3 linked regions of the Arabidopsis thaliana genome follow. The protein of the gene in region 2 interacts with the protein of the main gene of each other region in a pairwise test. Each region holds a gene or a part of one and is shown on either strand. Other genes may lie near its edges.

The links.
Region 1: the proteins of ATAUX2-11 (region 2) and KIWI interact in binary tests that used the Arabidopsis thaliana proteins (3 or more experiments, as listed by UniProt).
Region 3: the proteins of ATAUX2-11 (region 2) and ARF8 interact in a two-hybrid assay, tested with the Arabidopsis thaliana proteins (2 studies listed by BioGRID).

Annotation. Positions count from the first base shown.
Region 1 is NC_003076.8:2,874,637-2,878,127, reverse strand, and holds KIWI (ssDNA-binding transcriptional regulator), read left to right. Parts: upstream 1-1,518; 5' UTR 1,519-1,648; intron 1,649-1,750; 5' UTR 1,751-1,759; coding exon 1,760-1,894; intron 1,895-2,006; coding exon of another isoform or gene 2,007-2,046; coding exon 2,047-2,152; coding exon of another isoform or gene 2,153-2,169; exon of another isoform or gene 2,170-2,523; coding exon 2,524-2,642; 3' UTR 2,643-2,647; coding exon of another isoform or gene 2,648-2,707; 3' UTR 2,708-2,940; downstream 2,941-3,491. Other genes in the region: VPS20.2 (vacuolar protein sorting-associated protein 20.2), read right to left, coding at 1-8, 167-250, 407-559, 713-865, 1,230-1,331; AT5G09240 (ssDNA-binding transcriptional regulator), read left to right, coding at 3,348-3,479. UniProt on the Arabidopsis thaliana protein: General coactivator that functions cooperatively with TAFs and mediates functional interactions between upstream activators and the general transcriptional machinery. Binds single-stranded DNA.
Region 2 is NC_003076.8:17,548,429-17,552,253, reverse strand, and holds ATAUX2-11 (AUX/IAA transcriptional regulator family protein), read right to left. Parts: upstream 2,076-3,825; 5' UTR 1,790-2,075; coding exon 1,611-1,789; intron 1,519-1,610; coding exon 1,216-1,518; intron 1,127-1,215; coding exon 1,048-1,126; 3' UTR 539-1,047; downstream 1-538. Other genes in the region: AT5G43710 (Glycosyl hydrolase family 47 protein), read left to right, coding at 1-2; AT5G43695 (uncharacterized protein), read right to left, coding at 3,703-3,825. UniProt on the Arabidopsis thaliana protein: Aux/IAA proteins are short-lived transcriptional factors that function as repressors of early auxin response genes at low auxin concentrations.
Region 3 is NC_003076.8:14,627,472-14,635,005, reverse strand, and holds ARF8 (auxin response factor 8), read right to left. Parts: upstream 5,554-7,534; 5' UTR 4,856-5,553; coding exon 4,813-4,855; intron 4,729-4,812; coding exon 4,619-4,728; intron 4,530-4,618; coding exon 4,431-4,529; exon of another isoform or gene 4,325-4,430; coding exon 4,268-4,324; intron 4,192-4,267; coding exon 4,036-4,191; intron 3,943-4,035; coding exon 3,858-3,942; intron 3,577-3,857; coding exon 3,486-3,576; intron 3,415-3,485; coding exon 3,250-3,414; intron 3,166-3,249; coding exon 3,043-3,165; intron 2,931-3,042; coding exon 2,855-2,930; intron 2,727-2,854; coding exon 2,579-2,726; intron 2,347-2,578; coding exon 1,373-2,346; intron 1,285-1,372; coding exon 1,094-1,284; coding exon of another isoform or gene 1,090-1,093; intron 1,018-1,089; coding exon 900-1,017; 3' UTR 552-899; downstream 1-551. Other genes in the region: AT5G37030 (P-loop containing nucleoside triphosphate hydrolases superfamily protein), read left to right, coding at 1-392. UniProt on the Arabidopsis thaliana protein: Auxin response factors (ARFs) are transcriptional factors that bind specifically to the DNA sequence 5'-TGTCTC-3' found in the auxin-responsive promoter elements (AuxREs). Seems to act as transcriptional activator.

The sequences.
Region 1 (3,491 bases), about 15 Mb from region 2:
ACAATCAGCTTCAAAACAAACAAACATTATATATCACATTTGACTCCACTCAAGAAGATTGTTTCACAAAGTAAATGGTGGTACTCGAAACATCAATAGGGCAGTACGGTCATAATGCTGGAAACAATTGTATCTGAGAAACAAGAGAATCCATTATGTAGCATACCAGACTTTCTAGGTTGTCGAATTCTGCTAAGATCTCTTCTTCATCTTCCGCTGATAGTTTCTCACCTAATATGGCACTCAGTTCCTAAAATCAAAGTGTTTAACAGTTAGATCAAGCAAGGGAATACTCATAACCATGAAGGAGAAAAACAAGGAGAAGCTCGGCAAATGTGACAAATGATTGTAACTATAAGCGAACCACACAAACAAAAAGGAACAACAAGATTCACTATTAACTCACATCCTGATAAGCCTTGGCCTCGGCAGTGTCATCCATCAGTTTTTGAACATCATCAAGGTTGACCTCGCTCTGAATCGCCTTAATTGCATTGTTACCTTGCTTTAAGCTCTCAAAGACTGCTTTTTGCTTGCTTGTAAGTTCGATATCTGCCAACTGAGTCATAAAGACAGGTTCAAAATATATTCGTTTATGTTTCTTTCAAAACATAAAATCAGCTATAAAAGAAAAGAAAAGTACTGTTTATATAGCACTAAGGTTATGTGATGGAAACAAGGAGATGATAAGAAGAAGGTCAAGCCAATTTACTTGTTGTTCGACATTGATGAGCCACTGATCTACTTGCTTCAACAACTCTTCTTGTGTCCGTTTTTTCTTCAATGCTAACAAAGCCCTGTCCTTTCGCTTCTCACGGATTAAGTCTCTTGCAGCTTGCTTTTCTGCTTCAATTACTTTCTCAAGCTAAAAAGAAAGGTTTAAGAGAAAGAAAGGTCAAAGCTCAGGATCATAGGAAAGAAAAAAAAAACATTTGCATTCCACTTTCTCAGCGATCAAACTCACTATCTACCAATAGTGGCGATGAAATAATTAAACCATCATTAGCTTGACATAAGAATCAACATTTGGATCCAAGACAGATTCTGAAGGCAACTTCTACATTTAACTGCTTCTTAAACCTCGAGAACCCATAGCCGAAATTCAGTAACCTTTACCCTTATTCATAACCATTAGTGAATCGAATCAAACTGCACTTTCTGTCTCAGACCAAATTCGAGCAAGAATAAACCCTAGAAATGCGAAATCACAAGGCGAAGGAATCAAGAACCTGTTGCTGATATTGACCAAGCTTGCGCCTTTGGGTTTTGAGAGAGAGAATCGCTCGATCAACCTCCGTGATCTTCGGTTTCTTCACGAATAAATTCCCCATCGAGTTTTGTCAAGGGTTCGGCGATTTCAAACCAAGTCCAAATCTTTTTGTTTTCACCTTTCCCAAGCAAAAAAGCTCCCGCGTTTTCTCAAATTCGCGTTTATAAAAAAGCGTTCCGAATCAAAACAACTGTCACAGTTCTAATTTTATCACACGCTCTGCAACAGCGCGTGGTCGGTGAACACATTAACATAAATACGCGAGAAGAGACGCGCCGATTCATTTTTCTTCAGAATCTCTCAATTCTCTTTTGTCGATTTCGCAGTAGAAGAGTCCTTTCGCCGTCTCCGAGAAACTCGTTGCAGCGTCACGACCAGGTTTCCTTCTCACTTTTACTAAATTTTGTAATTGCTCGGTTTTTTGTTTAGTGCGAGTTTACTCTGGTCTGAAGAGAACATTTTGGGTCTGCTTATTTACAGTTGGAGAAAATGTCTTCTAGAGGAAAAAGGAAAGACGAAGATGTCAGAGCATCAGATGACGAATCTGAAACCCACGCGCCGGCTAAGAAAGTCGCAAAGCCAGCAGACGATTCCGACCAGTCTGACGATATCGTCGTCTGCAACGTTAGTCTACACTTTCTGTCTATCTTTCAATTTCGTTATCTACTCTATTAGCAGTGAGCTTATGGGTTTCGGTCAAGTTTTAATTTTGTTGATGTGTTTTGCTCAAAATTAGGGTTTTAATCAAATTAGGGTTCATGTTGGTTATACATCAGATATCTAAGAATAGGAGAGTCTCTGTAAGGAATTGGAACGGGAAGATTTGGATTGACATTCGTGAGTTCTATGTCAAGGACGGAAAGACTTTGCCTGGCAAGAAAGGTAACTTTATTTTGTAATTTAAACCAATGCCCCTTGGCTCTCATAATTCATTATTTCTAGTAATGTGTTTCCTCATCTCTTAGTTTTATATTTCGTTACTGTTTTGCTTTGTTAAGTTTCTGCATTTAGTCAGGTTTATAGAATTGCATATCTTAGGGTTTTATAATAGGCAATTCTGCTTATTGAGACTGTTTATGGACTTGTAAGTATGAGCGGAGATGGTGCAGAGTGTTTGCTTTTGTACAACAACGTTTTGTTTATTTTGGTGCTATTGCTCCTTCATGTCTTTCTCTAGAGACAGCTATATTAGTTTATCTCTACATAACTAATCATGTTGACAAGATTATCTCTATGTTTGTTATACGTTGCAGGTATCTCTCTAAGCGTGGATCAGGTACTCACATCTCTTTCTATCTCTCTCCACTGTTTTATGTCTCCTAGAAGTGTTTCTGTTTTCTTGTTATTTGCTTATTACACAGCTTTTCCTTAATGCAGTGGAACACTCTTCGGAACCACGCAGAGGATATCGAGAAGGCCCTCTCTGACCTTTCTTAGGTTTTAAAACTTGTATCATTGGTTGTACGTCTATTAGAATATGGCTCAGTTGTTTTGGTTGTTTTTGTAGAACAACACCATGTTCTGCTAGTGTAAGCTGCTTCAAATTAGTTGGTGTATGGAATCTTTCACTTTTGGTTCAGACAAGCTTTGGTTGGTATTAAGAATATAATGATTGCTCTTTTATTTACTGCTGTAGTGCTGTTTTATTTGCAAATTAAGATACGTTGCAGGAATACAAGTATTCATTTGATAAGTTATAAACAAGATAGGTCTAAATGTTACATAGCTCTTGCCAAACTTCACTTGATCCGGACAAGGCCATAAGCAGACATTGTCTTTGAAGATGAACCCATCACAATAAATGTATCACTCTGTGTTGCTACTTTCATTGCTATAGTTGCTCTTTTCCAAAGAATATTTACCTTCCCAAAAAACTCCCCCGTTTTAAGTTTGGCCGCGCGTGTTCTCAAACTGTGCGCTTGTAAAATGGCGTTCCGAATCTGATATCACAGTTGTAATTCGGTGAACGCAGTAGATATATTACGCGAGAAAAGGAGAGAGGTGCTTTTTATTTAACTTGAGAATCTCAAGAGTCAATTTTTGCAGTAGAAGAGTGTTTTTTTTAGAGGTTAAGAAAATGTCTGAGAACGGAAAAAGGAAAGACGAGGATGTCAGAGCATCAGACGACCGCGACGAATCTGAGACCCACGCGCCGCCTAAGAAAGTGGCAAAGCCAGCGGACGAGATTGAGGACATCTTCATCTGCAATGTTAGTCTCTCT
Region 2 (3,825 bases):
AAATCTCTCATTTATATATATGTTCCACAGAAGAAGATTACAAAAACTTTTGTTAGAAATATAGATTCAGTTTTCCAATCTCATCAAGAATCTTGAATCCTTCTTTTGTTGATCGATTGTTGTCTCATCATAATCATCATCATCATCATCGAGACAACTAGGTTTAAGTATTTGGTAAAATTCTTGACTTAATAATCATCTTGCATCAAGAACATTAGGTATGAATGTAAAAATTGTTGGTGCACAAAGGAAAAACCTAAATTCAATGAACCTATCTATACCATTTTAAAATATTACTCTAGTTCCAAGGTTCATAGATTATTATAAGTGATAGTGGAGACAAATTAGCACAGTTGGGTAGATTTACTTGTTTAAGGTATGGGGGACCAAAGTCACAGTTGGTAACAACAAAAGATAATATAAACATTTCCAAAGCCCCAAAAATATTCTCACTGCTCGATTAGATTTCTTATTTCTTTAATCTTGGTGACTAAACATGTATAATCTAAGTTTAAAGAAACTAGAATCCAATGATATATGTTTAGAAGCTGGGATTATTATTTTTACCATAAAGCAGCTTTGGTTTAATGATTTGTCTTCGTTGTGTTCATCTACAAGTTAGGTTTAATGTTCTGTGTTACAGTTTTGTAAAGACAGATCTTAATTTGAAGAGAAACAGAACAGAAAAATGGGTAATTACATCAAAAACATCAAAGTTGTTCGATAAGAACATTATAAAAAGTGAAAAACACAAAGATAATCTTCAGATTAGATCTTTCTAATACCACAAAACCTTTCTCTTTAATGGAGACAGAGTTACAGCTAAAGTTTAGATTTAGATCTTTCTCACACTTTTATGCTTAAGACCATTTTAAGCATCTCTCTTTTTACCGATGAGGTAAACATTCACAAAGTATGATTGTATGAAACATCTCTCCCCAAGAACCCGAGCAGTTTCAGAGCTATATTTACTCTGTTTCAAGAAACAGAACAAAAAACTCTGTTTTTGAATCTTTCTCTTTGATCTTTATCTCTCAATTAGGTTTGTTAAAGACCACCACAACCTAAACCTTTAACTTCAGATCCTTTCATGATCCTTAGCCTCTTACAAGACGAAACAAACATCCTGCAATAACAACAAAACACCATAAATACATAAACAAGATTGTGTCATAAGTTAACTAATTTGAGAGATAAATGAAAATTTGTACTTACTCCCAAGGAACATCACCAACAAGCATCCAATCACCATCTTTGTCTTCATAAGTAGGTACAAAGTCTGAGCCTTTATATCCTTCTCTCTCAAAATATTCTCCCACAGAGAATTTAAACATGTTTTCAAGTGATTTCATCAACTCTGGATATTGTTTATACATCGTTAGATCTATCTTCCTTAGATATGGAGCACCATCCATACTTACTTTCACATAGTTTCCTTGACCTTCAGATTCACTCTTCTTTGTCTGAACATTGTTCTTTCTGTAAGATCTAACTGGTGGCCATCCAACAATCTGAGCCCTATAAAACAAGAAATAGCATAGATTAGATTAGATCAGATTCACAACTCAACACACATTTTCAGAGAAGTTGTATTTGATTCAAACACTTACTTTGGAGGAGAAGCGGTTTCAGTTTTTCCAGTGGATTCAATCTCTTTCTCAGTAGCTTCAGGTAAAACTCTTTTGTTGCTTTTTCCACAAGAAACAGTTTCTTCTGTCCCTGGTAATCCCAATCTCAGCTCTGTTGCCTTTAGGTTAACAAGCTCATCATAAACATCAACTTTTTCCATTTCTTCTTCAAAGAAAGAACCTCTTTGTTTTTGTGTGTTTTGTGTTCTTGTGGTTGTCTAGAGAGAGAGAAAGACTTGTTGATGAGATAAGAGGCTTTGTGAAGAAGATTGTTTTATAGGAATTGAAAAGTCACTTTTTTGGTAATTTAGAAAAAATGGGATTAACTTGATTTAAGGACAAAGGCAAAAGCTAAAGCTGTCGGGTAGTAAACAGTAGCAGCAACTTTGAGGCAAAGTGTGTCCCATCATTTTGGGGACATTTGTGGGACACTTTCATCTTCAACACAAAGAAAGATACTTTCTTTGATTTTAGAGGACGGTCTAGATTCATTTCTCTGTAGCCCTAATTCAAGGAAGTGGGGTAGAGTATGGTACACTCATGTGCAGAATATAAAAAACCTTTCTCTTTTGTTCAAGCATTGAGTTATTGTAGGGTAAGCATTACATGTACTGTGGTCTGCCATATGCATTTGTCACCTCTCTCTCTCTCTCTTAAAGCCAAGAACTTACTCTTTCATCTATTTGTGGTTCATGTGATATCAGGATTAGATCATCCTAGTCAATTGAGTTGAAACTCTAGCTGTCTAAAGTCAAACATATTCATAGTCTTTTTTTCTGTGTTTGGAGGATAAGATTTTGAGTTTCATTGGGTCTGATTGGTAGCTTCATGTGTGTCCAACTAGTATTTGAGTTGGGACTTTCGAGAGTATTAGTAAAGAAAAACAAATAGTATTTGAGTTAAAATTATACTATTTGTTTTTCTTTACTAGTTTTCATGAAAGTCCCAACTTAATTTGTCTCTCTGTCTCTATGAAACTTCTAATGATCTTTATATATATGAATCCAGGAACAAACTGACAAGAAATCTTGCCAAAAGGTTTTGTCTTTAGACAGTTCATTATCTATGGGGTCTTATCGTTTTGGGTTTTGATTTCTCTCTGACTTTGTTTTCATGTTACTACAGCAAGGCAGTTTATGTACTTGTCATGCTTTAGTGAACCAATGTAAACCAAACCTAACCTAATCTCTTTGGAGGACCAAATTTGAAAACCTATGTTCAAGACTATTTTTTTATCCTAAGTTTGTTTAGTCTCGATTTCAAATTTTTTTTTTCTGTAGAAAAAGTTTTGAATCGTTACACATTAAGGGGTATTATTCAGTCATGGATTTCAATAGAATCAAATCCAACACTAATCCACTGTGATTGATGATTCTAAATGGTGCTTAAATATTTGTGATTAATTTATCATTAGTATTATGTTATTTTTGGCACATGACCTCCTAATAGTCTAAATCCTTCTTCTTGAGTATGATTTATGGATTACGACATTTGGGAAGTGAACATTTAGGAGATTGTTGGTTTTATCCGAATTGGTCTCAAAAAGGAGAATTTTAAAGGTAGTGAGTTTGGTATTTATTGTTACACGGTAGACGACAAGACTTTGGGTTCGATTTGAAATGTGAAAAGTTGGTTTCATTGCATGGTTGGCGTTAGAGATTTAAGTTCATGACTAGCTTATTTAGCTAGAAATCAAATACTGAAAATGAGACGTATCTAACAACAAACCGGTTCATGGCATTCTCTCCGGTTCCGGTTCTTTTGGACTCTATGTTGGATTGATCCACCGTTGGATCCAATAAATGATATAAAACAGCTACACACATGATCATACATATACAGCTTCATAAGTTATAGTTGGTGGGCAATATATATGCTTTTATATCATCCTAGTGATTATTCTAATGGTGGCTGGTTTGATGAAAAATTAGGCATCACCTCTTCCATGTTGAATTTGTTCTTAACTATCTTTTTTGAATTTTTTTACATAATGTTCAATATTTTTTGTATGGACTATGCAACAAAGTTTTATTATTAGTGAAAACATATCTTATTCAAAAAAGAAAACGGAAAATTAACATAGACATAAACAAGGAGTAATTCTGTTGTTAGGAATACATTTCATATGACATCCATCCATGCAGTCATCATCCAGTAATTTCACTACCTGCGGCGAACCTTCATGATGCAACTGAGG
Region 3 (7,534 bases), 2.9 Mb from region 2:
TGAGTGTTGGAGTGATTACTCCTTACAAAGGACAAGTTAGAGCAATCCAAGAGAGAATCAGAGATAAGTACAGTTCCTTATCAGGTGAGCTTTTCACTGTGAATGTTCGGTCTGTAGATGGGTTTCAAGGTGGTGAAGAAGACATTATCATCATCTCTACCGTTAGAAGTAATAGTAACGGGAAGGTTGGATTTCTCAGTAACCGTCAAAGAGCCAATGTGGCACTCACTCGAGCTAGGCACTGTTTATGGGTGATTGGAAATGAGTCAACACTGGCTCGGAGTGGTTCGATTTGGGCAAACCTTATAAGTGACTCGAAGAGACGTAAATGCTTCTATGATGCTAAAGATGATAAGAGATTGAGAGATGCCATGAATGCTGTCCAAGGTTGATAAGTCTGATGTGTGTGCACGTTTAAGTACTCTTTGGGTCAAAAAGAAAGGGAGAAAATGAGTTGTTGGTACTTCATCTATGTCATTCTTCAACCTAAGTTACTAGTAGAAGCTTTTGGTAACATTTTGTGATTAATGGTTGTGTTTTAAAGATTTGGTTGGTTTTGGTTTCACACCTTATGGAATCTAATTGGTCTGACCAAACTGAATGTCTAACAATGTTGTTACAAAAATAGAATAAGAATAAATACTAGAAAAGTTTAGTTACCCTGAGACAGCTACATAAAGGTTCTTATGTTTATGACGAGAGTGTCTGTCTAATACAAGCTAAAGTACGTCCTAAAGTTTCAGGACCCATACTCACAAATATGATTATGTTTCTTTCTAAAAACGTCAAAACGAGAGAGATGCGAACGAATGGCATATAAAGATGAGTGGAAACGACTTCAAATGGGAAACAAAGGGCTCCCGCGTTGTAGCATGATGAGACTAACACCGAAGCAGCTTCTAGAGATGGGTCGGGTTTTGCGGGAATAACCCACCACTGCCTTCTCCATGATCTCCCATTTGATGCACATCTTCTGGTGATAGTATCTTTATGTACCAAACGTTATTCACAAATGACCTGCAGAACAAGCTTTTAAAGATCTATCTCAAATCTAAAGCAATGTATACAAATAGAAGAAGAGTACTTTACTTACTCCCATGGGTCATCACCAAGGAGAAGAATATCATTTTCCTTGTCAACGAATACAAGCTGCCAGCCTGATCTAAGGGGGTCTTCCAACAACCCTTCGATAGCAAACATCTTCCCTAACTCTTCTCGCAGCTCGTGGTAGCTGCTGAATCGGGAGATGTCTAATGAACGCCCAACCGAACCAGATTTATAAACCTGCAGTTTTGGATTTGTAAGCATATCAGTATTTTCTTAGAGACAGTAGAGCCACAGAGAAGTCGGTGAGCCTAGAACAAACCAGCACCTTTACAAAGTTCTTGGTTTGGTTGGACGAGTTAATCTGTCCAGCTCCATGCAATAACTCATGAGTTGTGTCTTGCATGCAGCTATATAAGGAATTCTGAAATCCTGAATCTGTTAGTGACATAGGGGAAGCTTCAGCATCTCCTGATGAAGAAGCAAAGCGGGGAACCGTACTGGGGAGGAAGAGTCCAGAGTCGGGATCAACACCGAAAAGAGAGGGATTCTGCGGATTTCCGGGTTCTAGAGCAAGACTCTTCCCAGGATAGGCTTGTGGAAGTGACAACGGTTCAGAAAAAGTGTTGGATGCTTTTGGAGACCAGCCCTCTGTTGTTAACTGCTCAGGGAGTACAGACTGACCGGTTATAGAAAAATTCAAAAGATTGCCATCTCCAGAAGCCGGACTAGCAGTTGTTGCAAATTTGTTGCTTGAGTCAGTAAAATCTGACTTCATGAACGAGGGAGATGGCATCTCTGATTGCTGCTGCCACTGTTGAAGATGGCCATTTTGCATTTTGAAAGCATTAAGATATGCATTTTGGTCCGGTTGCTGTAGCTGTTGCTGCTGTCCAGCTGGTTGGTTACTAACTTCTTGTCGCATATTCTGCTGCGGAAGATTCTCACTCATAATCTGTGTTTGAGCATGCATGAGATGGCGTGACGCTTGTTGCTGCTGTTGCTGCTGAAGCATCAAATCAGAATTATGGGAAGCTGATTGTTGAAGATATTGGTGGTGAGGCTCTTGCAGCTGTACAAACTGCTGTCTTAAAGGATCTCCACCGCCGATGTTCTGCAACCCAGCAGCTAACATTGCTTGGTATTGCTGATTATTATCAGTCCCCATTTGACTGAGATCCAGCCTTTGTTGCATCCATGGAAACAAACCAACAGATGGATAATTTAGAGGAAGCAAACCTTGCTGCTCTCCACCTCCCCCTCTTAGCCATGTTAGACCACTTCCCAAATCACCCCTTCCATCTGTAACATCATAATGTTTTGAGTAAATAGCTATGGAGAGTACCTACACACTTCTTTGTAAATAAATTATAACAGTAAGACCCTCTTCAGAGCTCTACTCAATCGAACATTTGTTATTTATCCGAAGTAGCAACTAAGTTACAATAGCAGAAACACTGAGTGACAGTAAGAGACTTCACGAACGTACTATACTAGTTAATAACAGTTAGGAGAAGAGCCAAAAGGTGGATACCAGGCAAAGATGATGTGCCAGCATGCCATGGACGTTTTAGTCTGAGAGGAAAAAGAGATGGATACATAGGAAAGGTAGTCAGAGGCTCAATCTCCCATAAAGAAACCCTTGGCTGTCTCTCCCCTGCAGTCGATTCATCCCAACCAACCTACACCAATAATGCCACAGTTCATCAATGTTGATGGAATTTCAGAGTAATATTGGACTAAATCATCAGAAAGCTGTGTGACGTTCCATGGAATTTAAATAAGGTAACAGGCTTAATAGTGTTGTTACCTTCACAGATCGCCAATGAGAGTTTGGCCAACGAACAGAATCTAGATCACTAATACCAGTTATAGTACCCATGTACCTGGAAAGTTCCCCATGCCACTGTCAGAAAACATGTTAAAGTAATATGTGTAACATAATGATATAGTTTTCTCAGTTTCAAGATTGCATTTCCAGATATGTGGCATCATCACCTGCGGACACTCGACTCTTCTGTCTCGAAGAGCATGCGAAAGCGCATCCCAACTGAAATACGCGTGTGAAAAACGGCTTTAATGTACTTGGAAAGTTGTATCACAAACTCAGATTGGCTAGCCCTGAACATGAAGAGAATATTAGTAGGATATATTATCGGATATACCGAGAGATGAAAAAGATGCAGGTGGGAGAGATTTTTCAACCTTGGATGAAAGAAAACAGTGAAACAGCTATTAGTTGCAGAAGCATGTGCAGCAGCAGCAAGGAGTCCAATATGCATGCTATCACTAGATAAAACAGATGATGGTACAATAGTCTGCGGCCGAGTGGCATGACGAATTCCCAAAAAGAGTTGATTCTTTTCATTCCTGGAAACAAGTAATAGTGTTACAAATATAATCACAATCCACAAACTGAACGTACAACAAAAGAACTAAACCTGATGAAAATGACAGAATCTCCAGCTACTAGTCGCTTGGCACTGACAAAGACACTCCATCCAGTAGTTAGGAGATGCCGTTTGGGCTGTCCTGCATAATCACACCAAAACCATGTAAGTTATTCCTAACAAACCAAGAAGAAGGATTCAAATCAACTTAACTTCATATGAACAAGTAAATAATTCCACGTTATAATAGACAACGACAAGAACACAGAGCCTCCGTGGTTTCTTCAACTAAACCACACATGAGTAGTGAAAATAACAGCAGATGCTGCTTCAGACATACTTAACAGCCAATTGAAATTTTTACACTGGCGACTACAGTTAAAAAGGGATCATCAACGCACACCGAGGAAAGGTGAAACCTACCCCGAAAGATATGCCTAAACTTCCATTCAACATCATGGAGATCCCTTGCAATCAGTTCTTGAGCTGGTGGCTGCAGTGTGTAATCCTGCAACAGGGAAGACACAAGATATTAAAAGGAATACATATATTTTCTCAACAACAATTTATAGCAAAGTAAGTAAAAGAAAAAGTATAATACCAATGGAGGAAACACTTTCTCAGCAGCACGTCTAGGAACAGAAAACCCTCCATGTGTACTGGTATCACTAGCTGTGAGAGTCTTACAAAAATAATTACTAGGTTGCTTACTCGGTATCCCCAACTCAATCGGTACAAATGTTTCCTTCTGCTCCTCCTATAAACAACACCAATCCTAAAGCTTAAGTTATTAATTCACAGACTCAAAAACCTGTTATGTATAATGTATCTACCGGTGTCAATGGTTGAAGTGTCATTTGAGCATAGACTTCATCCGTCTCAACATCTGCCTGAAATAGTAGAAACGAAACCCATACTTACAAAGCACATCATCCCAAAACTAGTTTACAAAAGTAAAAATTGAATATGGAAAGGGACAGGGAACTAACTACGCACATGCATTGTAACATTATGGAGCTGGCATATCAATTGTGGTGGTAGGCTTGGGTAATTGGGTATGTGACCATCAACTTCCTTATTAGTTGTAGCAGCTACCTACAAGTACACTTCTATTTAAATGGAAATGCCCAAATATAACACAAGTCTAAAAATAAAGCTCCATACTTTTAAACAACAACCCAAACCTGTTCACTGTGACCCTGTGGAAAGTAAACAACTCGACTACCAGATGATGGAAGAGAGACTAATGGTCCAGCACAAGCATGCCATAGCTCAGAATTCAGACACTTCTCTCCTGTTAGAACAAACACAGACACAAGAACTAAGAAAACACTTGTCCAGAAACAGAACTAAGAAAATCAGAGAGTAAACAAGTCACCTTCATGACCCTGTTGACCCAATCCAGATGTTGACAGCTTCATGTCTAATTCAACTTCAAGAAACCAAACTTTGAAAACCCTAATTTTTCCGTACAATCTATTAAAAAATCTTCTTCACTTCCAGCTACTACAGTAGCTATAACTCTTTAGCTCCGGAAGTACAAACTCGTCTTTCTCCATCTCCTTTGTTCAAACCCCCAAAAATCTCACTCACAACCATAAGACTCAGTGAAAGCTTCGAATCAAAAAACCATCCATAAAACCCTTAAACACAAGAAACAGAACAAACCCCATTTCTTCAAAACCAGAATCTGTTTCTTCTCATCATCAAACCATGAACAACAACACAAGCTCTCTACTACAAGTACGCATTGAAGCAACCCCAACAGAAAAAAAAAAACTCTTGTCTTTGAGATCTTTGTGGATGAAAAAATGAAAGAAACAAGACAAAAGAACAAATCTTTCTTCTTCAACAACTTGACTTCTCTCGTGGGTAAAAAATTAAATCTCTTGAAGCAGTTCCATCACTGTCCAAGAGAGACACTTTGGCTTTCAAAAACAGAAGAGAGAGAGAGAAAGAAATGGTTAGTGAGAGAAAAAGATATGTGTCAGAGAGAGAAAAGAAGAGTGCGTGGGGGTGAAAGAGAGAGAGAAAAGAAGAAGAAAGTGAGTAAGTGGTTTTCCTCCTCTTATAAGAGACCCGACCCGACTCCACCCGACCCGGATTTGACCCGGATCCGATACAGTGGAGAGAAGGAAGAAGAAGAGAGGTCCTACTAACGAGAATTATGAGAGGTGGTGTCAGTACCAGAGTCACTTCTTTTTGACCGTTGGATTTGACTCTTGAGATCTTGATCGTTGAAAAATAATAATTGTTTTTTTTGAGGTCTTGGATTCGATGAAAAGGACAATGAATTATAGTATTTGAAGTGAGAGAGTGAGAGAGAGATAATAGAGTTGTCATAAATGTTAGCGTTGTTTATTTTAAATACTTTTTATTTTTGCTCCATTCATTGATGAAAGAAACACCAAATACTCCCATAATTTGATTTATTTAAAGATAATTTATAGTAGTATTTAATTTAATAACTCAAAAAATATTTTGTTGGATCTTTTATGAGTTCGTTGAAAAAATGGTCAAAGGTTTATCTATTGATAAGTGATGTATTATTAGATTCGCAAATCTAAGTTCTAATTTAGAAACAATCATTAGCAAATAGATGCCCGATAATCCAACATCTTATGGATACCACTATTTTACTTACCAAAAGAGAAAACTAATACACATGGATCTTGTTTGAATAATTTTTAAAAAATTTGGGATATGGAGTGTATCACTTGGAGAAGCTGGATTTGGAATAATCTTTGCAAGTTAAGACCCTTAACTAGGTTTTTCATCGTTTGTGAAATTGGTTCAGAAATAACTTGTAATTTCTGGACTGATAATTGGATTTTTTTGGGACCATATTTGTCGAGCTAACCTGAAGATTTATGACTAAGAATTTCTCTTCTCCCTCGTTCTGTTGTGGTTGCGGATGCATTGAGAAAGAGACAATAGTGGCTTACAAATTCTCGAAGTCGCAGTCCCATTATTCAGTTGCTTAAAGAATGTCTTCCTTCCTATTCTACTGTTAACTTACAAGAGGATGTAGAGGATGATGTTTACCTTTGGAAGGTGATGATATCCATGCATCAAATATTTTCTCTGCTGCTAAAACTTAGGCACATTAATATTCAAAAAAAAACTTATGCACATCTTCATCCTCCTGACACAAAGATGGATCGGTTTGAATCTGTGTGATTTCCAGGAAGGATTCTTAAGCATGCTTTCATTGCTTGGCTAAAGTCTCATCATAGACTTCTCACTAGAGACAAAATGATTCGATGGGGCATGACTACTCCTTCGTCGTGTCTTCTCTGTAATTTGATGGATGAATCTCGCTAACATTTATTCTTCGACTGCTCTTATGTTGCAAAGGTATGACACTATTTCTATGATAAAGCCCATCTTTCTCCTCTAAATCAATTTGAGGATGAAGTTAGATGGTTGAAGAATCCTTGTCGTGACAAGAAAACTACTTTGATTCTTCGAATTGCCTATCAAGCCTCACTGTACTCCATATGGAAAAAAGCGCAATGCAAGATTGCATAATTCATCCTCAAAGCCAGCCTCAGTTCTCATTATTTATCATTAACATTCTTCAATGTCATCTAGACCCTTGTTGGATAGCTCAACGGATCATTCATCTGGTTTGGTGTCTTTCAATAAATTTATTGTAATACTTTTGTTATCTCATTTATTTCGATTGTAGGTTCAATTTTCCTTGGTGTAACTTTTCCACTTCTATTATATGAAAGATATGTTTTTTGAATAAAAAAAACTGCTAAATGGAAGTTTCCTTCGTTCTATCGATGGTAATATCGTGCGATACGTCGCAATCATTTATATAACTCAACGATTGATTTTTTAAAACAACATGATGTCAAATTATATGGGCTCATCATCATGGGCACAAAACAAATACTATTACATGAAATTAAATTTAAAATTAAGATTACTATAATTTCAATATATTTTAAATTTATCAATTAATTATTTTCAGTGGACATAAATATGCATATTTACTCATCAATAATACAATAAAACATCTATAAATTGATAATGTTAGTACCATGCTATTTTATTAATGTATACTGATATTAACTTATAAAGATTTTATT